Linked DNA regions of Schizosaccharomyces pombe. The gene in region 4 interacts genetically with the main gene of each other region. Each region holds a gene or a part of one and is shown on either strand. Other genes may lie near its edges. The genes, in order: bgs1, mid1, myo2 and clp1.

What was found.
Region 1: mutations in clp1 (region 4) and bgs1 impair growth when combined (synthetic growth defect), as found in Schizosaccharomyces pombe (2 studies listed by BioGRID).
Region 2: of clp1 (region 4) and mid1, changing one enhances a phenotype caused by changing the other (phenotypic enhancement), as found in Schizosaccharomyces pombe (3 studies listed by BioGRID, with this or other methods).
Region 3: mutations in clp1 (region 4) and myo2 impair growth when combined (synthetic growth defect), as found in Schizosaccharomyces pombe (3 studies listed by BioGRID).

What each region holds. Positions count from the first base shown.
Region 1 is NC_003423.3:2,350,044-2,359,671, forward strand, and holds bgs1 (primary septum and spore wall linear 1,3-beta-glucan synthase catalytic subunit Bgs1), read right to left. Parts: upstream 7,322-9,628; 5' UTR 6,201-7,321; coding exon 1,011-6,200; 3' UTR 879-1,010; downstream 1-878. Other genes in the region: SPOM_SPBC19G7.04 (protein-DNA covalent cross-linking repair protein), read left to right, coding at 1-301, 345-723; DNA-binding transcription factor, MADS-box Mbx1, read left to right, coding at 9,386-9,436, 9,504-9,628. UniProt on the Schizosaccharomyces pombe protein: Alternate catalytic subunit of the 1,3-beta-glucan synthase (GS) complex. Synthesizes 1,3-beta-glucan, a major structural component of the fungal cell wall. Required for the assembly of the division septum and maintenance of cell polarity.
Region 2 is NC_003421.2:1,145,977-1,153,316, reverse strand, and holds mid1 (anillin-related medial ring protein Mid1), read left to right. Parts: upstream 1-2,881; 5' UTR 2,882-3,101; coding exon 3,102-5,864; 3' UTR 5,865-6,001; downstream 6,002-7,340. Other genes in the region: SPOM_SPCC4B3.13 (MatE family transporter), read left to right, coding at 1-1,074; protein Cwf20, read left to right, coding at 1,603-2,475; TIP41 type 2a phosphatase regulator Tip41, read left to right, coding at 6,176-6,934. UniProt on the Schizosaccharomyces pombe protein: Scaffold protein that anchors the contractile ring (CR) at the cell equator during cytokinesis.
Region 3 is NC_003421.2:1,232,731-1,241,755, reverse strand, and holds myo2 (myosin II heavy chain myo2), read left to right. Parts: upstream 1-3,519; 5' UTR 3,520-3,725; coding exon 3,726-8,306; 3' UTR 8,307-8,525; downstream 8,526-9,025. Other genes in the region: RhoGEF for Rho1, Rgf3, read left to right, coding at 1-2,371; Smc5-6 complex non-SMC MAGE family subunit Nse3, read right to left, coding at 8,585-9,025. UniProt on the Schizosaccharomyces pombe protein: Required for cell division. It is a component of the cdc12 'spot', a structure thought to mark the site of septation. May work in conjunction with myo3.
Region 4 is NC_003424.3:4,767,544-4,773,321, forward strand, and holds clp1 (Cdc14 family protein phosphatase Clp1), read right to left. Parts: upstream 4,174-5,778; 5' UTR 4,117-4,173; coding exon 4,068-4,116; exon of another isoform or gene 4,013-4,067; coding exon 2,448-4,012; downstream 1-2,447. Other genes in the region: qcr8 (ubiquinol-cytochrome-c reductase complex subunit 7), read left to right, coding at 1-64, 168-182; exonuclease Rex3, read right to left, coding at 364-1,986; box H/ACA snoRNP complex subunit Nhp2, read right to left, coding at 5,139-5,603. UniProt on the Schizosaccharomyces pombe protein: Protein phosphatase which antagonizes mitotic cyclin-dependent kinase cdc2, the inactivation of which is essential for exit from mitosis. To access its substrates, is released from nucleolar sequestration during mitosis.

The DNA.
Region 1 (9,628 bases), on a different chromosome or scaffold from region 4:
TTCTTGCGCGTTTAGAAGACGAAGTGTTTCAGGGACGGCTTACTTCTTCGCTTGAAAAGAAGGAGATTGGAATAGTTTGGTCCAAATCTTTTAGCACTACTGCTGGTAGGGCTAACCTTAAGCGAAATAACAAGGACGCGCCACTTGGGAAAAAGACATACGCATACATTGAATTATCTGATAAAGTAATCGTCACAAAAGAACGGCTTTACAATACTTTGGCCCATGAAGTTTGCCATTTAGCTTGTTGGATCATCGATAATGAAATGCAAAATCCACATGGCGCCTGCTTCAAAGCATGGTATGACAATGCAAATTAATGATAAATGTACTAACCTATTAAGGGGTAAACGAATTATGAACAATATGCCTTATATAGAAATTACCTCTAAACACAATTATGATATTGACTTCAAGTATAAATGGCTGTGTATTAATGAAAAATGCAACAAACTTTATGGAAGGCACTCAAAATCCATCAATCCACAGAAACAAGTTTGTAGGTTATGCAAATCACAAATTAAACAAATTTGCCCCAAAATAAAACAGCCCAATGCATTTCAAATTTTTTTAAAGGAGAATTCTAAGAGACTACGAAAGCTACACCCACACATCACTCACAAGGAACTTATGAAGAAACTTTCAGATGAGTACCACCGTACTAAAGATGCTAAACAAAACGTTTCAAAATCCGTTAGCCTTATCTCTTCAAGCGATTTGTAAATGTGAACGTAATAACATAATCAATATCACATTACGGGCAGACGGTGCACCAATAATTTTTTCTCATGTAACAGACATTAAGTTTGTGTTTGCTCTAACCATCAATCGTTCTTCATTACTTATTTAGATAATATATTCTCAAGTACTAGATACTTAATCAACACTCAAGTCATTTTTTATTTAACAAAATGCAAATATAATAATTATTATTTACCCTAATTGAGAGCATTTCTAATGAGAAATAAGCATCCACATCACACAAATCCTTTAAAAAAAAATAAAATGCTTTAGACAGAAGAATTCTTTGTTGAAGAATAAACAATCTTTGTCGCTGGCTGAATCAGATTAAATTTATCCATTGAAGTTCCAGCAGCTGATTTACCAAACACAAAAGGCAAAATTAAAAGAACAAAAAAGGCAATAAACAATGAAAAGTACAAAGTGGCATAGCGAAGAACTATTTGACGACGAAGTTTGTTTTGTCTTATGGTATAAATTGGGGGTCGAATTTGTCTGCTGGGCACAAGCCAGAATAATATGATCGAGTGAAGTTTGTCGATATAAGGAATCAAAATAACAGGCGCTTGCAAAAACAACAAAAGATGACTTAAAAGGAAATCACCAGCAAACATATTCAACTCTGTAGTTTTACACACAAATTCTCTCCATGGTTGCGTTAAAACCATATATCCAAAACCTTGGCCATTCCAACGTCCAGACCACCAAGCTAAATTGGCACCATCATGACGAAATTCTCGAGACAGGAAACATATGATAAAAAATTTATGAGCAAACCTGTGAATTGAAATGATTGCTACAAATCCAAGTAAAGTTTTTGAAAATGACCAACCTTCCAAATAGCCCAATACTTCAAAGACAACAACATCAACACACACAAAAAGGAAATGGGCCACTCCAGCCAAATATACACCATACGTTTTAGATCTATCGCCGAGAATAGGACGTAACATGATTCCTAAACAGAAAAAGAAAAAAGCAATAATTGCACTTAAAACCAAAGGAGCAACTGACATAATAATCAAGCGAATAAAAGCATTAGTAGATTGGGTCTCATCATCGTTACCAGGTTGGGAATTGATAAAGAGAAATGGAATACACGTGAAAAATAGTGTTCCTAGAGGCCCTAATATTTCACCATAAAACATTGTAGTAATTCTCGCACGCGGGGAATCCATAGCAATTTTATCTGCCTTCTTACCATATATTTTACGTTTATACCCAGTTACTCTGGTACGGCAAAGTTGACAGTTGCCAATCCATGAATTTGCTTGATTGCGTGAATTTTCGCGGAATAGCCAGCGCATAAACTCACGATAATCAACAAAGAAATCGGTCCAGGCGAATTGATGGGGATTGTAAAGGAATGGACTAATGCAAAGAGCAGTCAGCGTAATCCAAAAGTAAATATAATGCGGCAACCAAGCAGTAATTGAACCAAACAATAACATGTACATAAGTCGTGACCCAAAATAAAGTGATGGTCCAGAGAATCGAGAATACAATAGTGAGAACGGCACACGAACAGTAGCAAAACCTCTGCTAGTACCAATATAGCGTGCACCACCAAACGTAAGATTTGCAATTAAACTCTGCGCATATATTTGGCATGTGAAAATTTCAAAAATAGGAGATAGAGAGAATATTTGTTTCGCTAAACGAATAACCATTCGGATGGCACCGCGTTCCCCTAATTCACAAACAGCAAGTGGAACAAAAGCAATACCAAAGACAATGAAAATAGACAAAATACAACGCTTCAACCACTCGAGAACTGGTTTTAATTGATAACAACCTTCAGGGTACAAAGAAGCTGTCAAGGAGTCAAATTGGCGGTATCTACAAACCGGAACAACAGTGTACATTGCTCCCAAATTAATAATAACAAGCATCAATAACTGTAAAGAAAACATGATGACCATGTTATTGACGTGAAATCCAGCGTGGGCATAGAAAAATGACAAAAACCTATCAAACGGTAATTGTGTGCCAAGGTTGAAATATTCTCTTGAAAGCATTTGTTCCGCCATACCCGTTCCAATTTTCGTAGTAAAGTTAAGAATTGAGCCAAAACCCAAGTCACGACCCTTACCACATTGATAGTAATCACAATGCTTAATACGTCCTCCACGTTGAAGAGCAATCATACCTGCATAAATATCTTCATTAACATGCAGACCTTTTTGTGCTTTTGAAACGCCGCCACGAGTAATCATAAACAAAACATTAATAAAATCAGGATGTCCGTAATGCAATTTTCCACCAATCAACGATAAAATACGAGCGAAAAGAGTACCAAATGTTTGTTCCTTTCCAGCAGCTACATCTCCAAGCATACCTGTATTTTCTGAAAAAATGTATTCTCTAGCACCGAGAATAGCTACGGGATGATTGTCAGCAGCTTTGGCATTTACCGAGTAAGGGCTATGTAAGGGAGGAGTAAGTTGCTCAAATTCAGCAAGAATGCTACGAATCTTTAGACATTCTTCCAAATAATTATCCTGGTTGGCATCGATCATTTGTACATATTCACCTCTAATGTAAGGAATAGACATATTTTGATTATCAGATTTACCGTCACCCAAAATTGGGTTACCAGATAGACGAATACGATATTTGGGTCGACGCTTTCCATTTTCCATAATGGGGCAATGACCGTCAATCAGTACAGAATAAAGATGGCGCTCGTCATTATGTCGAGATTGAGGATCTTCATCCATATATGCAATTTGCAAGTCTGGATACGCTCTTAATAAAAATTCTGCATTTTCGGCTTCTTCTTTGGTAAACTTAGCATACCGCTGCATGGAGACACAGAATCGGAACTTCCTGTTTGCCATTAAATCCAATTCTTCATCTAATCGCACAGGGTCACCATTTGTCCATTCGACCAATTCTGGTGTTTCCGTTCTGTATAACAGTTTGATGGCACGACTATAGTTACTGAAACCGTTGATAGTGCGATACAAAGTTTGAGTTCTCAGAGAGGCCCAAATTCTTGTTCTCAAAGTATACTCCGGAGTCGCAGATTTAAATCCAACACAATAGAAAGGAAGGTCATATGCTTTATTTACTCCATTTTTTTCATTGTCGATACTGCCAATAACAGAATCATTTTCATCAGCAAGTAATTTTGTATCATCAACAAAATTTCTCCACTCCACAGGATATAGCTGCTTCAAGTACTCTAATAGAGTTACGCGAGAAAGTTGATCTTCCTCGCGAATAATCTCTCTTAAAGATAACAAAATTTTCTCAGAATAGTGAGGAACCAAAACAGTGAAGGTAGGCATGGCATCAATGGAACTAGTCTTGGGTATTGATTCAGCCAAGGATTGTGCGAAAAAGGAGATTCTTCGAGCAGCTTCTGAATTAGCCGGAAACAAATCTTGCTTATAATGCTTAACCTGTTGGGAGTAGAAAAAGTTGGGAGCTCTAAGAGTATGATAGCCTGCCTTTTCAGAAGGTACTTGATGGTACAACAACTCCTGAATTTGGGTACGGGAAATCAAATGCTCCCTGTACATCGAGATAATAATGGCATTCCAAACTTGAGAAATAAGTACTTTTGGCTTGAAGACAATCTCCATGTCATCGGTATACAACAGTTTTGTATATATTCTTCTGGGAACGCGGTAAAACAATTCTCTCCAAGGAGTCCACACACTGATACCCAGGCAAAAAGCATAAGCCAAAGAATAGATAGTGCTGATAAGAATGTACCATAGATAAGTATCAAGGAAAAACAGAGAAAGATCAGTTAAATACAGTAAACTCAAGAGAATTTTAGGCTGAGCCTTGCATAGTCCAGCTCCTAAAATGTAATCACGGCAGTCATAAGGTCGCATAGCACCCAAAAATCTGATAGAATCTGCCAAATTCAAAGTTAAAAAGAAATAAGATTCCAAGAATTTGGCCACCAAAACTGTAATCCAAAGACACCAAGAAACGAAAGCACCTGTTTTTGAGGTCGGAGTGAAATTGGCGGTGAAAAATCTGTTAGCAAGGTTTTTTCCAGACCTTTTTGTGGTGAAACCAACCAAATTTCGTAACGGCGTAATCGAATAGTAAACTACACAGACCAACGAGAAAAAGAAATGCACAATTCCTACAACCAATCGAGAAGCATAATGCTGCTCTTTCGTAGACGAAGCAAATATGAAAACAACAGGTGCGATGTTTAGAAGTAGCGTACTTATCAATAACAGCATACTCGGCCACAACCTTCTGGCAGAATGATAACGACGAGGAACATGTATATATTCGAAAACCACAGCTGCCAAGGTGATAAAAGAAGCTATAGCACCAGCTAAACCACAAGCTGTCCAACGACAAGAAGCAGGAGGTTTATTATTCAAGCGGATGTGATAATTTTTGGTGTACAAATTTGGGGAATTATAAGCCGAATAATACCAGTAAGCAGATATATGCATTACCCAAATACGTGAGAAATTGGTAACGTTATGGAACCAAGAACGATACTCGTAATAGGACTTATAAAAACATGATTTCCATTCAACATCGGAAAGATGTCGATATCGCATAAACGGTGGTAAATCTAACAACGGAGTTTTATCAGCACACATGATTTCCTGAAGGCCCTTGTAGGACCAAAACAATTGATTAATATCATCATAGCCAATGATTTGAGAATGATCTCTTTCTCGTCTGACGTATTTGCCGTCCAAAATTTCAAACAGCTGTGCATGAATAAATCGATAAATAGGGGTGATAACCGAGTCTAAATAAAATTCCTTGGGCAAAGCAGCATCGACATCTTTAGCTTCCGAAGAGATATAATAATCATAAGCACATTCAAATATAAAACAAAGACACTCGGGAACAAAACGAACATTGTTAGCTTCACCCCAGCAAAGAAAATAAAGGCACACCTGCACCATCATGCGATGGGGTGAAAATGCTGCCATTTGATCTCTCCATGCCTGTTCAGCTTCTTTCAAAGTCATTGTTTCGACAATTGGGGAAGACATATCGTGAAATCCAATGGCATGACCGTCATTAAAATGAGAAGCAAAGTACCACTTTGAAAAATTTGCATGTTCACCACCAATGACATCGGCATGGATAGTAAGCAGTGCCGAGGAAGGAGACATACGAGATGCCCGAGAATCTAAAAGAACCATAACATAATCAAAAATGTTACGCATGTTATCTTTTTGAAAACCAAGTTTATTTGTAAGGTCCAACAAGATCTCTTGAACACCTTCCATAGTAACAGGAGCCTCTTCACCAGCTTGATTCCAAGCCGGATAAGCAACTGAACTGGAATCGACATTAAATGAAGAGCTATCATAATCAGAATGTAATGCATCACGAGAAGAGTTTTTATCGTAAATCATACGGGTCAGAGAGCTCATAGTATCATCGTCAGAGACATAACTATTGGCATCATCTTCAAAGAGTCCACGACCCTCTTGTTCACGCCAATACTGATCCATGATGAATAAATAGACTCAAAAGAAGGAGAGAGGACAAATTTTAATGCTTAAATTAAGAAGAATTGAAAGAAAGAAAAGTTGGAATTTGTGAGAAAGAATGCTAGCAAATGAGGAACGATGTTCAAAAGAAAGAAATAAATTTAAGAGACCTTGAAAAAAAGATTAAAAAGAAAGAAGTTAAGCCTTGGAAAATGGGGGCAAAAGAGTAGAAGAGAAAAAAATTTGTGCTGATTGAAATGAAAAAAGTAAAAGACTTTTTCAAATCCTAAAAAGAAGAAAAAAGGGTGATATATGTATGCCGGATGAGAGAAGACGGCGGAAAAAGCTCTAAAAGTAGGAAAAAGGGTGGGATCACGAAGTGAAAGAGTAGTTAAGATATCGGAGGTTCAAAAGGGAATGAACGGAACCTAAAAATACAGTATGCAAATTATAAAAAAAGAGGCGAAAAAAAAGAAGAAATAATTATAAAAACAACAATAATAATACCATAAAACAGCAAGCACCAAAAGAAGTACTTACAAATGCACACCTAGGAAACTGACCAAATTTTTAAAAAAGCGATTCAAGGAAGGACGTTTTTTTAAAAGAAAAGGAGAAAATATAAAATCGCTTTCCACATAAACTTTAGATTGAACAATTAAATTGTCGTATGCAGAAGCTTATTTACAATCTCTCAAAGCGAAAAAAAAGTAAATGGAGATGGGAAAATGGAAGGAAAAGAGAAGCGAAAGGGTAAGAGGAACCCGGGACAAACGCCAAACGTCCACACAAACACAATGCTACGACAAAAGGTGATCTTGCACACACCGAAAACTTAGCAGTGATGGAGCAACTAACGTAAAGATAATATCACACAAGAAAACTTGGCAAATGTTAAGATGGAGTCAACCTTTTTGTATGGAGGCTAATAGGAAAAAAGAGAGGAAAAAGAAAAGAAGGAACCAATGATAGATATATAAGAAGGAAGAAAAAATTAATTCCGTGCAACAGAATCAAAAATTTGACGTTAAAAAGGATAATTTACTCTAATTAATCAATATATTTTCAAAAATTTTAGAGTAATTCCACTAAGAGAACGGTGAAAATAGCCAAAACCCACCAGTTCCTAGTTTGTTGTCTGCAAGTTGTACTCATTCCGGTTCTTTCAAAACTAACAGCGAAATGGGGAAGGGTAGTGCACATTATTGAGGCCTATTTTAGTGTAAGCAATTTAGAGGCTGGCGTGGTAGGAGGCTCAGGTTACTCACCAACGAGGCACAAGGAGGCTTAAAAAACCATCCCCATACAAAGCAAAGCCATAGCCGGTCAAACAAAGAAAGAATTTATAAGCAGCTACTGTGTAGCATCTTATCAATCGTTATACCCAGCTACCGTTTTAGATGGATACTTTTAACCAAACTAAGGACGCTATATTTGAATTGGAAAAGAAGTAAACAAACTACAAAAAGTCAAGAAAGTGTAGCTGAAACCATAATTCAGTTACAGTGAACATAAGCGACGAGTGTTCTTTTTTTTTGGAATTGTTAAACTAATTTCTAATATGTGATTGTCTACATGGGTGGTAAACAATAGTAAAAATAATACAAAGCTAGAAGGTACCGAATCCCAATTAGCAAAGGTATGATTATTACAGTATAGAGCTTATGAAGAGAACTAGGCATTGGGCTTTTTTCGCAAATCCCGAAAATTGGGAAAATCATAGACGCACAATGTCTGGGTATTGAATGCGTGGGAAAAGTACGGATTTGAATGCTAACAAATCTGGTTAGGATCTAAAGAAGATGAAAAGACAACCGAGTACGAATTTAAAAGCAATTGGTTAATCCAAAGGAAGAAACAATGTGCCGGCATTGGAAAAGGTTTCCATTCCATATTCTGGTTAAGACTTGGATTGGGCAATTTCCCTTACGAATACCCCAAAAACAAACACATCCTGTAAATATTTTTATCTATCAATCGACTATTACAGCGATATTCTTTTAAATCTTTGATGACTATTTAGTTGTCACACTTAAACAACTTCTTACAATCATTTGACTACAACTATTTCTATTGTCGCACCTTCTGCTCTTTTCATTTTCTCCATTTCATTAATTCCTATATTTTCTACTTCTCTAGTTTGTTTTACTTCTTTACACTACCTTATTAGATAAATAATCTAGCACCCTAGCCTTTCTTATCATCTTAACCCCCTGTAGCGAGACTTTTTTCGTCCGGTACCTTACAGGGCTTGGGTGGGCTTTATAGAAAGGCTCAGTACATTTACCACGAGATTTTGAAAAGGATAAATCCAGCGTTTTTTCCTACAAACTATACGTTCCTGATACGCTGTATACGCTTCTTTTTCATCCAAATTTCACATTTTTTATATTTTGGTTCAAGTCTGGGGTTGATTTAAGAAAAATTTTTTTCCGTACTGCCTATTCAGTGTTTCTATTTATATTCAAAGGTGAAATTTTTTGTCTCCGCAAACTTTACATTGCCGTTATTGTCGCTTTGTTTACATTTTGAAAGTCTCAAATTGAATATTTTGAATTTCATCCTTGGCTTTTTTTTATTTGGTTTCCATTTATTTTGGTGATCGGCTTCCTTATTTTTTTTTGCACATTTAGTATTGGGTTAGACTTCAAGTCATAGGAGCCGATTGAATGATATCCTAATATTTGCCTGCTTTTTTAAAATTCTTCCAAAGTTATCTCTTTTTTCTACATTAAAAGGTTTTTTCATTCGTCTACCCAAAACGTTAACGACATTTTCCTTGTATTCTTATCCCTTTAGATTATATCCCATTTTGGTACCCATTACTGTTTTGCTGCATTTCAAGTCAAGCTGATACATTCAAGTGAATCTAGCGGATAATCATATTTTGTATTTCAACCTTTAAGTTTTGCACTTCCTTGCATGCGTCTTTGCCTTCCCTTAATTTTGATTTTTATTACACTGTCAATAATCACGAAACAAGAATATAAGAATAGTCGAAACTCTCACTTTCTTTGCGCCCTTTTTTCCTTCTCCCTTTTCTCCTAATTTTTATTTCTAGACTTCACTGAATTTCCTCGGTTGATTTAGTCAATTGGTTTAATTTTTAATCCTTTTTTTGTTGTTTTTTTACTATTTTGGTTCTTAATTGTCGCTCTTTTTCTACTTCTTATTTATATTATTACCTAAATATTTGGACTCTAACTATGGATATTAATCCTCCTCCTAGTACTGCTCCTTCATCTCCTCGCCGTTCTGTATGTGCTACATAGTGGTTTGGTTCCATTCATACACCCCTTTTCTCCTCGCTAACGTACCATTTAGATACAGCGTATTTCCGATGCAAAAAATAAGGCTCTTACTTTTAATCGTCGACGACTTGGCTTGATAAAAAAAGCACATGAACTCTCCGTTTTGTGTGATGCTAAAGTGGTGGTCATGATTTTTGA
Region 2 (7,340 bases), on a different chromosome or scaffold from region 4:
GCCATATTGTTGTTGATACAATTCCCTATTTTCTTGATATGGTGGAAAATAGAGGGCATACTTTTATTCCTTAGACAGGATCCTCTTACTTGTATGTTTGCGGCAAAGTATATGCGAGTAATGATGTTGGCTAGTCCGGCATACGCATTATTTGAAGCACTAAAACGTTTCCTTCAGGTGCAAGGTATATTTCATCCTGTAACATACATTTTAGCAATTGTTGTACCTATTAATATTTTTCTTAATTACCTTTTTGTGTGGAGTCCCTGGGTTGGTTTCGGTTTTCTAGGTGCACCGGTCGCTGTAGCATTAACGCTATGGAGTGCTTGTGCTGTTCTAATTATCTATATTATGAAGGTAAACGGACGACAAGCATGGGGAGGTTTTAGTAGAGAAGCATTAAAAAATTGGGGCCCGTTATGTCGATTGGCTGTTCCTGGTGTAATTATGATTTGCAGTGAGTACTGGGCTTTTGAACTCGTTACTTTCGCATCGGGCGTGTTGGGTACCACTGAATTAGCCTCTATGTCTGTTTTGTCTACTACCTCGACCCTTTCTTATAATTTGGCTTTCGGTGTCGCTGCTGCAGCTGCCACAAGAGTAGGAAATTTAATTGGTGCTGGAAATACGAAACTCGCTAAGCTAGCTACGCACGTTTCTATCAATTTAGGTGCTGCAATTGGTGTTATCATTGCTGTAATCCTTTTTTTAACTCGCAACACATGGACTTACATTTTTACGTCTGATAAAGATGTCGTCGCATTGGTTGCAACTATCATTCCCCTTGTTGCACTCATTAATATTGCCGATAATACACAATGTGTAGCTGGAGGCCTTCTTCGGGGACAAGGAAGACAAAGGATTGGTGGGGTAGTAAATTTCATCGCATATTATTTATTGGGTTTGCCTGTTGCCATAATCCTTTGCTTCAAGCTAGATTGGGGGCTGTACGGTTTATGGATTGGAATTGGAGCTGCAATTCTAATTATTGCTGGAGTAGAAACTTGGTGCTCATTGCATGTCAATTGGGACCATTTAGTTGAACTTGCTAATCGTCAGTTTGATGAGGCTTAAAAGTTGATACGGACAAGTTAATGATTATTTAAATATGTATTGTGGTTTGTCATAAATTGATATATTTGAAGAGATATGTTCGGTTTATGATACCATGGTTACGACTACTAACAGTTGATTGATAAAAGTATTCGAGTCGGTACTTTTTCCAGTCTTCAAGATTTGGCCATGTTTTGGCCTATCCTAAAAATTAAGTTTACGAAAATTGCAGTGCTTTAAACTCTCATATTTATGAAGCTTATAAAAGTAAATTAAATTAATGGTAATTTGGAATCTTTTTGGGTGATTAATATATAAAATACCACATATGCTAGCTAGCAACGTTGGGCGGTAGCATTCAATTAAATATTATTTCTTTTTAAGACTTACTTAAAGAATTAATTTAAGTTTGAATAAATATGTAAATCATCTTGCAGATGCGAGTATATTAATTGCCATAAATAATTCTGTTCGCAGTGAGAATAGTTACCGAGTACAAATCGCTCGCTCAGAATTATTAAACGACTTAATATCAAAAGTTAATAAAATATGTCTCTGGTTTCATATCCTCGATCAGAATCCGAAAGCGATATTGAAGAAGAAACACCATTAGCTTCTAAAAGTTTCGATCCTACTTTGTTTCAGCATGCGCGCAGAAAATTGTCGGTTGACAGCACTAAAAAGTCACCTAAACGCCTGAAACGGCAAGTTGATTTACAGAAATCTTCTTTTAATGATAAAACTTTTAATGAATCTGATGTTATCTCTAATGAACGATTTAAATCTAATGATTTACTTGAACTTTTGCCTGCCCCAAAAAATCAAGCTGAATTAGCTCCAAAGTCATCTAAAAGATCGGACCTTGATTTAAATGAAAACTATTTATTACCTAATAACTCTGTAAGCGATTTAACCTCTACTGGATCCTCCGAAACTGTCAAGAAATCAACGTATTCAGAAAAGTCTGGTAACGTTTCGTTATTTAATATCGTAGGATCAGAGTCAAAGCAAGCCTCTTTAGTAGATTCCGATCAGAAACCTTACCAACCAATTTTGATAAAACCTAAAGCTAGAGCAAATCCTCCGAAATTGAGGAATCAACCCGAGAACGATTTCATTTCTATTGCTAATCACTCAGTACATTCAAATGCAGAGGACATAAACATTATCAATGAAGATTACATTGAAATTGGACGCCACCGAAAAGAGAAGGGACGAATTATAGACGTTGATATCAACAAACTTCCAAAACCGACCCAAGAAGCATTGCCAAGCGCCCCTACTATTAAAAGTGTTGCACCTGGTCGTCATCAACTGTCTTCTCTTGTTGAAATGGCTATCAGTCAAAAAGACAACTTTGAAGCTTATTTTGAGCAGCAACGATCAAACAAAAAGGCATCTTCTCAAAAGTATGGGTTTTAGCTTTAAGTAAATGTTACGCCCCGATAGTTAGTTTTAGGTTTTAACTGCTCGTGTATTTGTAAATTAAAAGCTGTTTATCAACAGATTCATTTTATGTATTTTTTTTTAGTTTCTGCGAAAATAGCAGACAACAAAATATGATTTTACTTATTTTATTTTACATACTAATGACTTTATTCATCGCTATTCATAAGCATACTGATAATACAATATTATCTTTGCAAGTATGTCCCAGCTATAATTCATATTTGCAATGCAACTAGCCTTTTTTTGTTAATTTTAAAAAGGAAACTTGGCTTTAATCTTCGATTTATGGTATATCCAGAGTTTGAATTGTTTAACCATATAATCAGTGTTCTCACTGGGACTACCACTTATCATAGCGTCTACCGATTTTGTGTGACCTATGCCTACTCCACATGACTGAGGTGAAGAAGGATTTCAATAAATTATAAGAGGTTTTCGTGCTTTTAGCATCAATTTTAATAGAATTTGAATTAATATTTGCTATAAAGAAGAAGGCTCGTCTTTTGTTGTACTTCAGGGTGCTTATATGATACTGTGTCCACATTTTAACACTCGATAAGGTATTATAGTCTGTAAAGTCTAATTAAGCTATCCTGACGATGAAAGAGCAAGAGTTCTCATATAGAGAAGCAAAAGATGTGTCTCTTGACTCTAAAGGCTTAGAAAACAGTTTTCTTTCTTCTCCAAATCGAGAAAAAACACCCCTTTTTTTTGAGGGTAACAGTAATGAAACCTCGGGATATGATCAAACAAAAAACTTTACACATGGAGATGGCGATATGTCCCTTGGAAACCTTTCGGAACTAAACGTTGCGACAGATCTTTTAGAGTCACTTGATTTAAGAAGCATGTATATGCATGGCTATGGGCACCTCGATTCATCTTTTTCTTCTCAACATAGTCCTGATAATCGTAAAAGAATGAGTAGTACATCAGTGTTTAAGAGGATTAATTCCGAGGAAGAAGGTCGCATTCCTAGTTTGACGTACTCGGCAGGAACTATGAACTCGACAAGTTCTTCTACTGCGTCTTTGAAAGGTGCTGATATTGTTGCAGATTATGAAACATTTAATCCGGATCAAAATTTAGCTGAATTATCCTTTGACCGCTCCAAATCGTCTCGCAAGAGGGCGGTAGAAGTAGCAGAATTTAGTCGAGCTAAGACAATGTCTCCGTTGGAATACACTGTTCAACATCCATATCAATCCCATAATGAACTGTCTACAAACCCAGCCCGAGCAAGAGCTGGAAGCGTTCCCAACTTGGCTCGCATACCATCTGATGTCAAGCCCGTACCTCCAGCACATCTATCTGCATCTTCTACTGTAGGTCCAAGGATTCTTCCTAGTCTTCCCAAAGATACCACAGAGGACAATCCAGCGTTGGAAAGGGTCGAAACGACGGCGTCTCTCGATATGGATTATAAACCTTTAGAACCTTTAGCTCCCATTCAGGAAGCCCCTGTTGAAGATACTTCAGAGCCTTTTTCTTCAGTCCCAGAGGCCACCTTAGACGACTCAGATATCTCTACAGAAAGTCTTCGTAAAAAGGTTTTGGCCAAGATGGAAGCAAAACGGATTTCCAGTGGATCTTCCTATGCTAGTACACTTAGGAAAGTTTATGATTTCTCTGAGCTTTCCCTTCCCACCAACGGTAAAGACTATGATGAGTTATACCTTCAATCTTCCCGTAATTCAGAACCTGAGATTTCTACTATTATCAATGATTCTTTACAACAGGAAAATATGGATGAGGATATTAGTGCCACTTCAATTCCGAAATCTCAGGCCGCCTATGGTCATGGATCTGTAACGTATCATGAAGTCCCCAGATACAATCTAACTTCTGCTTCCGTGGGATATAGTATATCTAGTCAACGTGGTCGTATAAAAAGCAGTTCTACCATTGACAATTTGAGTGCTATTTTAAGCTCTGAAGATTTACGTCACCCATCAATGCAACCCGTACCAGGAACGAAGCGTACTTATAGTAATTATTGTGAAAATGAGCCAAACAAGTCTAGCCAAAGTTTAGTCAGTTCTGAGTCCCATAACGTCGAAGGATGGAATTATTCGGAAACTGGTACAGTAGGTTTTTACGACCCTAGTGCCGAGATATCCGCCAGCATTGATGAACTTAGGCAGTCTACGCCTGTAGCCAGAGATAGCGAACTTTTAAGTCGTGCACATTCCTTTGATTTGAATCGCCTTGATCTTCCAAGTCAGGATAAGAGTACGTCTTACGAAGTCCCGAATGGTACTGAAAATCAATCACCACGTCCTGTTACTTCTCTTGGATTTGTGAATGAAACATTTTTTGAAGAGAAACCAAAGGCGCCCTTGCCACTTGGTCGCTTTTATATACATTTGAACAGCATTTTGAATATTTCGATAAGTGAAGTCCATTCACCTATCAAGATAATAGTTAATACGCCTACGCAAAATATGCAGCTTCCTTGGCAAGCTGTTAATGGGAATAATAGGTTGGACCATGATTTTGCTTTTCATGTTGACGATAACTTTAAAGTGAGTTTTATGTTTCTTGACATCCCTATTGAGGACAAGTCCAACGGTTCGAAAGGAGTATCTGCTACAAAAGACGTTTCAAACGGTAAGCCTGCTGAAACGAAATCCAAAGCTAGGAAATTTTTTGACAAGCTTTTCAACCGACGCAAAAAGAGAAAACTCAACAAGGCTGCTGCAGTTGAGAATTCAAAGGCTAAGAAGTCAGTGGTTATCAAGAAAGTCTCGGGTACTGCTACGTTAAATTTGGGTAATGTCAAAGACAGTTGTTTTGGAAAGGCTTTCAACGTAGAAATACCCATCATTTCCAGAGGCTTCTTGGAAGCGATTCCTGTAAAAATAAACTCTATAGGGAAACGTACACTTGGTAATCTAACTTTGACTTGTTTGTATATTCCTGAGCTTTCGGTTCCAGAGCAGGAATTGCCATTTACCTTAGAACAAGCTACGATGGACTTGCGACACGTTAGAAGTAACTATCTATATAATGAGGGATACTTGTATAGATTGGAAGATTCATCTATTCGAAGACGTTTTGTCGTTTTACGCTCAAAGCAGCTGAATTTTTATGCTGAAAAAGGTGGGCAATATTTGGATACTTTTCAGCTTTCTAAGACAGTAGTTTCAATCCCAATGGTAAATTTTTCAGAGGCAGTTTCAAACCTCGGTCTAGTAGCTGGAATATTGGCTACATCTGTTGATAGAAGGCATGTTCAGTTGTTTGCGGACTCTAAAAAGGTTTGCCAAAAATGGCTTCAGGTGATGAATTCACGCTCGTTTGCTCTAGATAGGGGTACTGAGAAATTATGGTTACAAGAATACGTGAATTTTATGGCTTAATATCTGAATTTATGAATACTAATCGTCTTAATGTATTTTTTGAATAATTTTTACTTATCGGATTTACTAAATGAGGGAGTTGAACTGAAATTATATAACTACTGAATTAATACTTATAGATCATTTTTCATTTTTAATCTGAATAATTAATCAACTTTTGGTTTTTTGAATATACTCTATAATGAGTAAAGTAATATAAAGGTGTTTTGTGTTGGCTAAATTTACATTACCTATATTTTGCCGTACGCACTCTAAATTGTTACAATAATATAGGGGTCAAGCAACTACTCAAATCACATTATTTAAAGGAGATGCAAAAACAAGATGATTTTTCATTTAAATATTGGACTATCAAAGTCCAACGGGGGTCAATTTTAAAAAGCCATGAGATGGAGAACCTTCAAAGTACATTGGGTTTTCCACCTCCTGAGATGACCTTTGGGAATAATTACATCTCAATTGAATACAAGAATCAGCCTGTAGTTGGATTTTTTACTGAAGATGCTCTTAAAATGGTTGGTACCAAACCTGAAGATGTAATGCAAGTTTCTTTTGCAAAAGACTGGGCCAAATCCAGAATTAAGCCCGGAGAAGAATACCCTGTGATTTACCCATTTGATTGGACTTATTATACTGATTATCAGGGAACTATACAACGTCCAAATGCAAAATTCATTGAAATTGATCAGGTAATACCTGTTCAAAAAATACTTAACGCAGGACAAAATTTATGGTTCAATGAGATAATTCTTTTCGAAGATGAGTTAGCAGATAATGGAAAATCAATGTTTGATGTGAGAGCTCGAGTTGTTCAGGGTCATTTAATATTGTTAGCACGCCTTGTCGTACGTTTAGACAAGGTAAATGTTCGATTGAATGAGACGAGGATATATATTGATTTGTTGAATGATTTTCTCTTGAAGGACTGCCGTAAAAAGCAAGCTACTTACGACAAAATTATTAAACAAATACCTGTGGGGGGAGACAAAGCTGCATTGCTAGATGATAACAATTGGTTAAGTGAGCGCCTTGATACCGTTGACCATAAAATCTATAAATTGAATTTTTGATGCTAAAATGATTCGCTAATGGCAGACATGAGAATTTAGAACTTTTGTCAACGAATGAGTGTTGAAGCAATTTACAAGTTTATTACGTTTAGTTCATGGTAATATTTATAATCATTTTCAACTAAGAGGTTATTAATTTAGGTTTTCTAATTGAGAAAGCAAAATAAATAGATACAATCTTTGGTACGATTAAACGGCGAAGATATACTACTGAAACTGCAAACAAATTTAAAATGGTCCAGTAAATTTTAGAGTATACTTAATTAGGAAGAATGATGGCCTCGTAATATTGATCGTTCGTTATAACATTGTATTTGGCAATCAACCTGTCACAACCTCTCTTCCCCTTTATATTGTACGACATTAATCGATCCGTTTTTTATTTCAACCCAACTCCTACGTATTT
Region 3 (9,025 bases), on a different chromosome or scaffold from region 4:
CCTAGCTGAACTGTTTAGGGACGGAATTGTGCAGCAGCAAGATGCGATTGTTCCCAGCAATCGAGTGGCTGACTTTATTCAATCTGTATTTGGAAATGTTGAATCAATCAGACAATTGCATTCTCGACTGTTCTTACCACAATTAATTATGAGGGAACGTCTCCAGGGCCCAGTAGTTTCAATTATTGGTGATATCTTACTAGAGTGGATTCATGCTGCTAAATCCTCTTATATTAATTATGCCAAACAGTTCCCTTTAGCAGATGAAACTTATAAGCTAGAATGTCAAAGGAATACTTACTTTGCACGTTGGCTTGCTGCTTGTCGATCAGATCCTAGATGTCGTCGGTTGGATTTCCAGCATTTCTTGCAAAGACCTACTCAACGTTTACAAAGATACACGCTTGAGTTGGATACAATTTTAAAGCATACCGAGCAGTCCAGCTGGGATTTTCAATTAATAACTCAAGCTGTCAAAGAACTGAGAGCAACTTGCGAGGAATGTGATGCCGTTATAGCTACCGTACTTGAGGCCAATCGTATTCGCGATCTATCGTATCAACTTCTGTTTAAAAATCATGAAAGTGTCAATCTAGAGCTAAGGGATCCTGAAAGAGAGTTCTTTTTTGAAGGAATAGTTCAACGTAGAAGTGATTCCCGCTTGGATTGGTTGGACATCCACTTGTTTTTGCTCGATAATTACTTGATCATGGCCAAAGCAAGAAAAGACAAACGAACAAATGCTTCAAGATATGTTGTTTCAAAAAGGCCAATACCATTAGATTTGCTTGTTCTAAGCCCTAAAATGGACGATTTTCAACTTAAATCAAACACTAATAAATTTCTTGGCAGTTTAGCTGGCAATTTACCACAGGAATCTCTTACCACTAAGAGTAAAAGGAAGAGTAAGGTGAATCTTGAACTAATGTTCGATGCCACTGCTGAAAAGAATAACGAAAACTCAATGAACTCTGCTGTATTTGAGAAGTCTCAACTTTACCCCTTCACAATAAGGCACCTTGGTGCTTACACCGCTAGTTATACACTCTACGTTGAGTCACTTCAGCTTCGTAAACTCTGGGTTGAAAAAATTAATGTCGCAAAAAAACGACACTCTCAGAAGATAAATATTAAGAATCCGTTTGCATTGAAAGTTGTATCTGACGTTGCCTTTCAGTACCCTCCTTCCGACTTAGTTAATGGAAATGAACCATTAAACAGCTTTAATGAAATTACTTTGGTTGAAGGCTCTTCGATTGATCGCGCACTCAATGAGGTAGCGTGGAAACACCCAATTGTAAGTGAGGAGCTTTTGCCAGAGCCTATTGCCTATGGCGATATAAGTTGTATTGCCCAGTTTAATGACTACGAAGGTCATGTCTCGGTTTTGATTGCTACATCTACCGGTATCTTTTTAGGCGCATTTGGTGATTCCAGTGACATTCGCGATTGGAAAAAGATCTCTAGTCAAAGACGCGTTACCCAGCTTGGAGTTGTTGAGGAATTTGATATCCTATTAGAGCTACGTGACAAAACCCTTTATGCTCATAAATTAAGTCGTATTATTGAAATGGGTCTGATCGAATCCAAAATTGCAGTTGTCATTGGAACTCCGCATGCCGTATCATTCTTTAAAATAGGTAAATTGTCTGAGGGGGCTTCTGTTAAACGTGAGCGAACTTTGGTTTTTTATAAAGAGGGACTCGGTAATACTACAACCATAATTTGCTGTGAACCAGTGATCGGCTTAGGACATAACTATCAGAAAACATATGCCTTCAAGAGAAAAGATGTTACTTCCTTCAGAACTCTGGATGATTTTCACGTAACGGCTAACTGTCATTCAATTGATTGCTTTAAGTATTCAATTGCTCTTTGTCACAATAAAGGCATTGACGTTCTGCGTTTGGACCCTAAATTAGCAGTTGGTTTTCCAAGCCCTTCAGTGCTTAATGATACGTTGTTTCGGAACCGAATCAACAACAGTAAGCCGCTTGGCGTCTTTCGCATCCACGATCCTAGCTTATTTGCATGCTGCTATCAATTCGGTGCCGTGTTTGTCAATGGAGAGGGTAGTATGGTTAATAAAGAGTGTTGGTTTGATTGGATTGGCAAACCGAACTCTGTTACCAGCTGTCATGGATATCTCATTGCATTTAATGATGAATTTGTCGAAATATGGAACACGCGAACTAGGAAACTTAATCAAATTATCCAAGGAAATGACATTAAATACTACCCTAGTAACAGTGATTGGCTAGCCAATGGGAAATATATAATGTTTGGCATGGTTCATCCTCAGTATCACGATCGCCATTTGATACTCGCTTTAAATAAGGCAAAAACAAACTCCTTCATAATTGAAGATTGATAATTATCATATTTATTACAAGTTTTCTTGCCATGATTGTCTTTTTTACTCATCCATACTTTTGAATATCGGAAACGTTTATCTTATTTTGTTTTACGGAACATCCTGCATCTTTCGAATCATATTTTATCGCAGCCTTGAAATTTTATTTCTTCTTTTTTTTTTTTTTTACATTTCCCTACCCATTTTATCACAAAGGAATATTAAAATCTGCATGCATTAACATTTTTTAATTACTTAAAATGATCGCTACTATCATTATGTTCAGTGTTAAGCCAAAATTGGCTTATTGTACAAGTTGCATAAACTTGCCGACTACAGTTGATGAAAACAGAGAACATTGTTGTTTTTTTACGTAACTGGTTATGGTATTCTGCATGTTTTGATCATAAGTTTAAAGATGTGGTTACACATTGAAGCACCATGCTTTCTTTCAAACACTAACTGAAGCAACTAACATTTCTGTATATTTACTTATTGATTATTACCAGGGCCATAGCTGTAGATGGTCAGTAAGCACATAATAATTACTGATTGCGATTATTAGCTAGAGCGTGTTCTTATAATTATTCAGTAAGAGGCATGATTAGAGTGCTATATATAAAATGTAGATAAATAAATGCCGAGTTTAGTTATTTGCTTTAAAAGTTGTGTTCGGTACGATGAGGAACATATTATTTGCGTATCTAGTCACAAATTACTCATATATCTGTAATAGCGGGAGTTTTTTATACAATCATTTTACCTAAAAGCACGGGGGAACATGAAATTTCGATTAAACCGTAACCCCTAATCCTACGTTCATTTGATGTTTTGAGTATTAGTACAATGTATTTTCAATTATTACTTAATATCTTCAATCTTGATGAAAGTAAAGCTTTAAAAATTTGTCAGGACTTTAATTGCAAAAGACCGAGTATATAATGACCTCCATCTATTAATATTATTTCTTTTAAAAGATATATATACCTTCTTAATTGTGATATTAAAATCATTATGTTATAGGAATGTTTCTGGATGCTACCTTAACCTATACTAAATGTTTTAACGCAAATATGATCAAGTACATAAACGTTCGATTAACGCATGCGTTAATCGAATGTTCAAGTGCTTAAATCATTAATTGCTGTGCGTTCAACGGGGAGTACAAAAAGTATCCAACAACATAGTTCTTTAACGTTTTCTCTGTGCATTTGTTGATCCTTCTTTTCGGATATATCTATTGCTATCTTTTTGGATTTTTTCACTCTTTGATTTTTGGTCTATCCTTATTGTTTTACAAGGTTTTGGTATTGTACACCGCATTGTTTATTTTCAGGAAAGGCGGTAAATAACCGTCTTAGAGAGTAGCCCGATGACAGAAGTAATATCTAATAAAATAACTGCAAAAGATGGTGCAACTAGTCTGAAGGATATTGATGATAAACGATGGGTTTGGATTTCCGACCCAGAGACTGCCTTTACCAAGGCTTGGATTAAAGAGGATCTGCCAGACAAGAAATATGTTGTTCGGTATAATAATTCCAGGGATGAGAAGATCGTTGGTGAGGATGAAATTGATCCGGTGAATCCTGCCAAGTTTGATAGAGTCAATGACATGGCTGAGTTGACATACTTAAACGAGCCTGCAGTCACATACAATCTTGAACAGAGATATCTCTCTGATCAAATTTATACCTATTCTGGGCTCTTTCTCGTTGCGGTCAATCCTTATTGTGGACTACCAATCTATACGAAGGACATCATTCAATTGTACAAAGATAAAACACAAGAGCGCAAGCTACCTCATGTCTTCGCAATCGCGGATTTAGCATACAATAACCTTTTAGAAAATAAGGAAAATCAATCGATTCTTGTAACTGGTGAGTCCGGCGCAGGTAAAACAGAGAATACCAAAAGAATCATCCAATATCTTGCAGCAATTGCTAGCTCGACTACCGTTGGCTCTAGTCAGGTTGAAGAGCAGATCATTAAAACGAATCCTGTGCTCGAATCATTTGGTAATGCTCGTACCGTACGCAACAACAATTCTTCTCGTTTTGGAAAATTCATTAAAGTTGAGTTTTCTTTGAGTGGGGAAATTTCGAATGCCGCCATAGAATGGTATCTTCTTGAAAAATCTCGCGTTGTTCATCAGAACGAGTTTGAAAGAAACTACCATGTTTTTTATCAGCTTTTAAGTGGTGCTGATACTGCTCTCAAGAACAAACTTCTTTTAACCGATAACTGTAATGATTATCGATATTTGAAGGATTCGGTTCACATTATTGATGGAGTTGACGATAAAGAAGAGTTTAAAACTCTTTTAGCTGCTTTTAAAACTCTTGGATTTGACGATAAAGAGAACTTTGATTTATTTAATATACTTTCCATTATTCTACATATGGGAAATATTGATGTCGGTGCTGATCGCTCTGGTATAGCTCGTCTTCTCAATCCTGATGAGATTGACAAGCTCTGTCATTTGCTTGGTGTGTCTCCGGAGTTATTTTCACAAAATCTTGTTCGACCTCGTATTAAAGCAGGCCATGAATGGGTTATCAGCGCTCGAAGTCAAACTCAAGTCATTTCGTCCATTGAAGCATTAGCAAAAGCCATATACGAAAGGAATTTTGGATGGCTGGTAAAGCGACTTAACACTTCCTTGAACCATTCCAATGCCCAAAGCTACTTTATTGGTATTTTAGATATCGCCGGTTTCGAAATCTTTGAGAAAAACAGTTTTGAACAACTTTGCATTAATTACACAAATGAAAAGTTGCAACAATTCTTTAACCATCACATGTTCGTATTGGAGCAAGAAGAATATATGAAAGAAGAAATTGTATGGGATTTCATTGATTTTGGACATGATTTACAGCCGACTATTGATTTAATCGAGAAAGCAAACCCAATAGGTATTCTTTCATGTTTGGATGAAGAATGTGTTATGCCGAAAGCAACTGATGCTACGTTTACTTCTAAACTTGATGCTCTTTGGAGGAACAAGTCGCTAAAATATAAACCTTTTAAGTTTGCCGATCAAGGTTTTATTTTGACTCATTATGCCGCTGATGTTCCTTACAGTACAGAAGGTTGGCTGGAGAAGAACACCGATCCTTTGAATGAAAACGTTGCTAAGTTGCTTGCGCAATCTACTAACAAGCATGTCGCTACACTATTTTCTGATTATCAGGAAACTGAGACTAAAACTGTTAGGGGAAGGACGAAAAAGGGCCTTTTTCGAACTGTTGCTCAAAGGCATAAAGAGCAGCTCAATCAGCTTATGAATCAATTTAACTCGACCCAACCTCACTTTATTCGTTGTATTGTTCCAAACGAAGAAAAGAAAATGCACACCTTTAATAGACCCCTCGTTTTAGGACAACTTCGATGTAATGGTGTTTTGGAAGGAATCAGAATCACAAGGGCTGGTTTTCCTAACCGTTTACCATTTAATGATTTTAGAGTCAGATATGAGATAATGGCGCATTTACCAACAGGTACCTATGTGGAATCTCGACGTGCTTCTGTCATGATTTTGGAGGAGTTGAAAATTGACGAAGCATCTTATCGAATTGGTGTTTCAAAAATATTTTTCAAAGCAGGTGTTTTAGCAGAATTAGAGGAGAGGCGCGTAGCGACTTTACAAAGACTGATGACTATGCTACAAACAAGGATCCGTGGCTTTCTTCAAAGAAAAATTTTTCAAAAGCGATTGAAGGACATACAAGCCATCAAATTACTACAAGCAAATTTGCAAGTGTACAATGAATTTAGAACTTTTCCTTGGGCTAAGTTATTTTTCAATCTAAGGCCCTTATTAAGTAGTACTCAAAATGATAAGCAGCTTAAAAAGCGAGATGCTGAAATCATAGAGCTGAAGTACGAGCTGAAAAAACAACAGAATTCAAAATCTGAGGTAGAGCGTGATCTCGTCGAGACCAACAATTCTTTAACTGCTGTTGAAAATTTGCTTACTACTGAACGTGCGATAGCCCTTGATAAGGAGGAAATATTACGTCGAACACAGGAAAGGCTTGCAAACATAGAAGATTCGTTTAGCGAAACAAAACAGCAAAATGAAAATTTGCAACGAGAGTCAGCGTCATTGAAACAGATTAATAACGAATTAGAAAGTGAGTTACTAGAAAAAACTTCCAAGGTTGAGACTTTGTTATCAGAACAGAACGAACTGAAAGAAAAACTGAGTTTGGAAGAGAAGGATTTGCTAGATACAAAGGGAGAACTTGAGTCTTTACGTGAGAACAATGCAACTGTTTTATCAGAAAAAGCAGAGTTCAATGAACAATGTAAAAGTTTACAGGAAACTATCGTTACCAAGGATGCTGAACTTGATAAACTCACTAAATATATTTCTGACTATAAAACTGAAATTCAAGAAATGAGACTGACAAATCAGAAGATGAATGAAAAGAGTATTCAGCAGGAAGGTTCTTTATCTGAGAGTCTCAAACGAGTCAAAAAATTAGAACGTGAAAATTCTACTCTTATAAGCGACGTCTCTATTTTAAAACAGCAGAAAGAAGAGTTAAGCGTCTTGAAAGGAGTGCAAGAGTTAACAATAAATAACTTAGAAGAGAAGGTTAATTATTTGGAAGCCGATGTCAAACAGCTTCCGAAATTGAAGAAAGAACTAGAATCCTTGAATGACAAAGATCAACTTTATCAGCTCCAGGCTACCAAAAATAAAGAACTGGAAGCCAAAGTTAAAGAATGTTTAAATAACATCAAATCGTTAACGAAAGAGCTTGAAAATAAGGAAGAGAAATGCCAAAATTTGTCAGATGCTTCTTTAAAGTACATTGAATTGCAAGAAATCCATGAGAATTTACTTCTTAAAGTTAGCGACTTGGAGAATTACAAGAAAAAATATGAAGGACTTCAGCTGGACTTGGAGGGGTTAAAAGACGTCGATACAAACTTTCAGGAACTTTCGAAAAAACATCGTGATTTGACCTTTAATCATGAAAGTCTTCTTCGGCAATCGGCGTCCTACAAGGAAAAGCTTTCGTTGGCGAGCTCCGAGAATAAAGATCTCTCTAATAAGGTATCGAGTTTGACGAAGCAAGTAAATGAACTTTCTCCAAAAGCATCTAAGGTTCCCGAACTTGAGAGGAAGATTACTAACTTAATGCACGAGTACAGTCAACTCGGTAAGACCTTTGAAGATGAAAAGCGTAAAGCATTGATAGCTAGTCGAGATAACGAAGAATTACGCTCTTTGAAATCAGAGTTGGAGAGTAAACGAAAGCTTGAAGTTGAGTATCAAAAGGTACTAGAAGAAGTAAAAACAACTAGAAGCCTCCGTTCGGAAGTCACCCTTTTAAGGAACAAAGTTGCTGATCATGAAAGTATACGTAGTAAGCTTTCAGAAGTAGAAATGAAGCTGGTTGATACTCGAAAGGAACTGAATTCTGCTCTTGATTCCTGCAAGAAGCGAGAGGCAGAGATACATCGCCTTAAAGAACATAGACCGTCCGGAAAGGAGAATAATATACCGGCTGTCAAAACTACGGAACCCGTTTTGAAAAATATTCCACAACGAAAGACAATTTTTGATTTACAGCAAAGAAATGCAAATCAAGCGTTATACGAGAACTTGAAACGAGACTACGACCGTCTTAATCTTGAGAAGCACAACTTAGAGAAGCAAGTTAATGAGTTAAAAGGGGCCGAAGTATCACCTCAACCTACTGGCCAATCTTTGCAACATGTCAACTTGGCTCATGCTATTGAATTGAAAGCTCTGAAGGATCAAATAAATAGCGAAAAGGCAAAAATGTTTTCCGTTCAAGTACAATATGAAAAACGTGAGCAGGAGTTACAAAAACGAATTGCTTCTTTGGAAAAAGTGAACAAAGATTCGTTAATAGATGTGAGAGCTTTACGAGATCGCATTGCAAGCCTTGAAGATGAGTTGCGCGCCGCATGAAGTTAAATGATTTTGTAATGATGAAACCTTTATTAATTATATTATATATACTGACATATACTTCTCTTATAAGTTTACGAGCTATTTTTTTATTTTTTTTATTTAACAGCTGTACATAATATTCCCGCTATATAACCAAATATACATCTTAAATTTATATCGAGATATTAGCACGCATATAGGAACTTAAATAATATTACGAATTTTTTTGTAGTAGCGGAGTAAGTATACAATAGCATTAACATGAGACGAGCATAATGTAAAAACCTAAGAGTCATCTATGCTGCACTTGAGGAAGATTGATTCTGATACTCCTGCCGATATTCGGTTAATAGAGCATCCATATCAATGTCTGAATCCGGAAAGAACTCTGTAACGAATGATTTCAAGCCTTCAATAGAAATTTCAGTTACTGCACGGGATCCAATATAATAAACAAACTGGTTATGGGTATCATCTTTCACTCTATCTAAATACCCTTGGCGAACTAAAAGAGATAACGAGCGAGTAATATCCAGATGCAAAGGGGTTGTTTCTTCCTCTGTTAGAAGTTCCTGCAAAAAAGATTGCAGTTCTGAATGTCCTACACTGCAATGAGAAACGGCTATGAATGCGATCACAGTCATCAAAAATCCATAATAAGCAGTATCCAATACCGAATCTACAATTAAGCGAGAATCCTTTTGAAGTTCCATAGGAAGGGTAGACCTCAACACCCA
Region 4 (5,778 bases):
TTACTATATTTACTGTTGGGGGAAGGAGCGTAATGAATTCCTCAATTCCAAACATGGAAGACACGTAAGTTAATGACTGAAGAATCGATAAGCAGCTATGGTTTGCAGCATTTTTCTATACTTCTAAATTGTGTCAATAATTGTCATTTTACTAATATGTGGTTTAGTTGGTGGAGGAATAATGATGAGAATGAAGTATTCATTTTGGTAGAAGGATTTACAAAATTCTTCCCTACCCTTTCCTTATTGGGTTTACAATTACTATCTCTCTCCTCTCATTATGCTTAGTATCAGAAATCTATATATCCAACAAAATTACTTTGTGATATGATCTATCTCTTGAATTTGAAAACATTATTACTCTTAGTTTTGACTTTCATTTGATTTTGTCTTATAAAAGACAAGTTGTAATGCTGAAACAGCGTCTTCTTCGCTATCGTGTGTAGAAGTTTGTATTGTTGTTCCCAGATATTTTTTAGTCAAATATTTTAAGGAATATCTAAACGGCGGGCCTCTGGCATGCGTAAATAGAAGAGCAGTATCTATGACACGTTTGTGAATAAGCCTCATCGCATTCAAATCGTTTTCTAAACCATGTCCTATTAAAATTGTATTTTTATTCATGCCAAGTTCCTTTATTTTAATATACATTTGATCCATGGTAATTCCTGATTCTAATTCTTTGGCATCATGTATCCCGCTAAATCGAGTATTGAGACTCAAAATTTTGCCTTTAGGCTTTATAAACACATCCATAATAATGCTTTCCTTTGCTACCACCGTCAAACGAGCCAATTCCATCCCGTTCGTAGTGTAGCATAGTTCACAATCTAACGCGCAATGACTTAATTGCTTGCTATTTGTACTGTCTGGTAAGTAGGAAAATGGATGAACGCTAGCAAGATACGGAAGATGTCGGTATTTGAACACATGGTTGTCTTCTATAATACAACCAGACGAATCGCCCTCTTTTACACCACAGCAAGTGTATGTACGAATCTTCTCCCCCCCTTGCTTTTCACGAAACAGTTTTCCCCAATGATATGTACATGGTCCTCGAGGATCCGCAAACCGTGTACCACATCGATCGCATTCACGAAGTTCATCTGGCGGGTTTACTGGTGCAACGTCTCCAATATTATATCCCCATAGAATCAATTCTTCTTCCGAATGAACAAGTGACTCAAGTTTCTCATCAGGAGTTGATCCTTGTATTTCATTTTTCTTCGGAGCTTTCTTAAGAGATAAAATTTTAGACTTGCAGGAGGAACTGTATATCATTTTACTGTTTGCAGTTTCACAAATATTTTTTTCATCGAGAAGAGCAAGCATACTACTTTCTGCATTGGAATAGCCTAAATCCTTGTAAGACTCATATAACAAATGTGTCATTCGTTTTCTCAGTTCATGCCCAGCTGGTGAGTTGGAGTCATATTTAGGAGTAGGAATGATATTGGAAGACGCTCCTTGAGAATCTGAATTAGTACTAATGGCTGATACAAGTTGCTTCTTCTTATTAGGAACGATGGAAATGGCATCATTAAATAAAGAACGCTTTTTTAATACAGTATTTGTAGGTAGATGCGTCGTTTGATGATTCAACTGCTTGCATTTGTAAGTTTCTAGTACGTCCATACGAAAATTCTCATTCTTGGTTTCTTTAATGGAATCATTTGTCTTCTCCAAATTTAAAGTGGTGGATATATTTTGCCTAATGTTGAAATTAAGATTTTCAACCGAATGATAAGGGATACAGGTCGTAACTATTGGAACACAAATAGACAGTTTACAATTATCGTATTTGTAAGGAAGTGATTTTTCAATTTTAACTTTTGGGTACCCTTCAACATTTTCGGAATAAGGTGGTGAAATCTTTGTTGAGTTTTGAAAGTCATGACTAAAGAAACAATTCCTAGACTGACATTTGCGTCCAGTTCGTAGAAATGGACAAACTATGTGCTTAAACTGACCCAAAGGTGAAAACATTGAAGCAAATTAGGTACAACAAGTAGGCAGATTTCCGTTGGGAATTTAGATAAAAATTCTCAAGCAAAATATAATAAAATGTACCGCTACGAACAAAGATACCATGCACCCGCGAAAGAACCTCTTCAGCCAAAAATAGAATGGCGAAATCTTGAAATTCGTAATAAAAAACAAAGACTTTTTATATCATAACCAAAACAATTTCTCGATTAAAATCATTAACCATGGCTTGCAAAAAGCCAAAGTTTTTTCCAAAGAAATATGAATGTTAGTTAACAAAAAGGATAGCTAAGACATTAATGGTGGTGATCCCCACCGCGCAAAGGTGCGCTAAATCAGGGAATATTTGTAAAGTTAATTAATGAAAAATTATGCAGGGTTGACACAGTATAATTCAAAGTTAGTTTATATGAAAAAAAGGAATGTAAAAACTGCCATTTAAACCAGTAATTACAGGTTTATTAAGAAATTAGCCGGCTTTTAGAAGGCTTAGGTTTAGCAACACGGCCATTAGAAGTATTGTTAAGTGATGACATGCTAACACTTCGCTGAGCACTTTTTTTAGAATGACTAGACCCACTAGACCACCTATTTCCACTTGTACGTCGAATTGGACTACCAGTTGGTGAGGATGTCGGAGAACGAACTCCATTTGGTTCGATATTGCTTTGACTTGATGAGCGACGCAAGCGAACCACTGAAATTGTTTCAGTTGGAGTTCCAACAGTCCGTGTTTCATCATCATTTTGTATTTCTGAATCTTCGTAACTACTGTATGACGCTTTGTTCTCATTTTGGATTGATTGCTTGGAAGCATTTTTAAGTTTCTCATTAAATTTGACAGAGGACGCTGAAGGGAGACGTCTCGCCGACGGTGGATTATGTCCAGAAACTTTTCTCGGTTGGCCAGGCGTTGGTTCTGGAAGAGGAGTACTGATATTGCTTTGAGAGGTACCATTCGTAGCATTCAATGGATGGCGAGGAGGAGTAGCTAAGGGTTCCGCAGCGGTGGCCTGTTGGATTGCTCTTCCCATCGCCTTTTCGTAAAAATATGCACGGAAATGAACTTGATTAATATGTAACCAATGCTGTTGTGGACCTACAACCATTCCAGGACGCATTATTCTCATGTAAGCAATAACTTCATTAGCAGTAAAACAATGTTTGTATATTAAATATGCGCCAATTAAGCATCCAGTACGTCCGAGCCCTGCTTTGCAATGAACAGCAATCACACCGTCTTCTTCTACTTCCTCGGTAAGGTCAATAAACTCTTTGACAAGAGAAAGCTCTGGAACTGTGCCATCCTCAAAATACATCTCTTTATGTCGAATTCCAACATTTTCAAAAGTCTTTTTATCGTAAAGAGGTCCATTAAGCCTAACTATCAGTTTGACCTTATTAGCGACGAAATAATCGAGAACTATCGCAAACGGTTGAGGAAGTTTCTTTGGACGTGTGCTCGCATGATTCCAACCAGCCTGAATAGGACTTGCAAATGCTATAAACTTAGGAGATATCCAATTAAAATCTCCATTCTCCACTCTTTCATAAGTTTCATAGTCATGAACATCGATATTACGTATATTTAGTATGCTGCTCTCTCGTGCTCTCCACAGTCCGTAAACACAATCTTGAATCGTGATATAGTAATCTGAAACAGCATATCCCGCATCTCTAAACCCCAAAAAAGGAGGTTCTGCCTGAGCTAAAGGGGCTAATGCGAGATGTGGAGGCCAGTTTTGTACTAACACCATGTAGCAAGCTAACAAACAAGCGGCATTTGCACGCAACCTTGTATCTGTAGAAGAATATAAAACTATAGCCTTGCTTTTCTTAGCTTGTCTGTGTTTTCCCATGATACCATGAACTATCACTGCAAATCTAATAAGATGACTCACGTTCAGCGGACCAAAGTCATGATAAAAAGGGTTGTAGATCAATTCATCATCGATAGTAAAAAAATGCATATGAGGATATAACTCGGCTTTAGGTGGTTGCGACAATGATGTGTAGTATAACTTGTCTATTTAACATGTTAATCAATTTTACGAGATATTTGAGTTAAACTTCATGCATACCCTCCAAAAACTCAATCATTTCACCAAGCCCATCATCTTGGTAATCCATCAGACAAGTAATTGCGAATCTCGTCTATATTCGTCAAACCCGTAATGGTTGAGTTCTAAATTGTGTACCTGGGTGTTGGTGGTCCTTGTAAATAGAAGGGATGATAATGCACAAGAAAATATGTGGGGTGCGAAACAAATGAAGACAAAAGTGGATTCTAAACTATACACAACGTTATGTTGACATTTAATCTTTTCTCTTTATTAAAAAAAAAAAGACATTAACTTTTAGCAACACTATAGTAAATAAACAACAATAATCATTATCTTACAAAGTAAGTAAAAATGCACATCAATTTATGATAAACATACAGAATACTTTTTGCTCATACAAATACAACCCAACTTTTTTATCTGAAATTCGATTTGTTTTAGCAAATATATTTAAATCCGATAACAAAATCCGGATAGATAACCATATAATTGCCGGACCTTTAAAGCTACCCTAATCTATCATTTATGGATAGCACTGGAAAGCATAATATTTGTAAACATTATAATGGTAAGAACGACGTTGGGTGAAATTTAAGTTAGTTGTAAACTGGTTCTAACACGCCGCCTCTGAATACTAAATAGCAACCTAAACGAATAATAAAACTTTTTTGCGCAACTAGTTAGAAATAAACACAGGCTAAATCCGTAATGAAACGATCAGCGTAAACGAAATTTGAGGAAAAATCAGTTGATATTTCATCGCTGTTACAGCGATATACCATTCTCATATAAGTTGGTAAATGATACGATATTATTGCTAACAAAGTTTTGGAGGTATAGTGATTAGTTTGCTCGCAAACCAGTCTAAACCCATAAAATACTAGGGCATAAGAAAGAATGATAAAACACTAGATTAAAAAGGAAATTTTTTGAAACCTTAAAACCGACCATTAAGCAAAACTTCTTTTCGCTTACTATCAAGCAAACAGACATGATATACCAAAAGTTAAATCCCAGGATAAATACCAAATTTTAATAGTATATAATAATCTACATTAAATGGCTAAGCATCTTTTAGATATTGAACAATTAAACTTCAAGAGCAGGTACTTCTTTTATAATTTCCTCGTAGCTTTCCTTGTACTCCTCAACTTTAGACATGTCCTTCTTTTTTCCACCGGGAACAATCATAACACAGCTAGTAGGTCTCTTGGTGTTTGATGCTTCACCAAGCAACTCTTTGGAAACAGTATATAAGTAAGGGACATTATTGTCTTCACATAATACTGGAATATGAGATATAACATCCATGGGAGAAATATCACCAGCAAGAATTACAAGACCCTTCTCTCCTTTTCTAACAGCCTTTACAACCTCTTTGACCCCACGAAGGATGTGTTTCTGCTTCGAAGCCTTCTTGACAGTCTTCATCATTTTTTTGTTCAATTTTTTAGGAGCTAAAGGCTTAGCAATTGGCATTAAAGCAGGAAGATATGAATCATACTCATCTTCGGTGCTTCCACTATGCTTATGGTCTTTTTTATCTTTTGCCATGATAAAGAAATGGAGAAGGATAAGTTTGGAAGCCCAAAAGATGATCCCAATAAAACTTTTTTCAGTAACGCTATGTAGCGGATAATAGTCTGTTAAGCCATCTGTATAATACGTAATTTTAAGATACCAGCTTTGGTAATATTCCTTAAATTGACATAATGCCTACTATTCCACG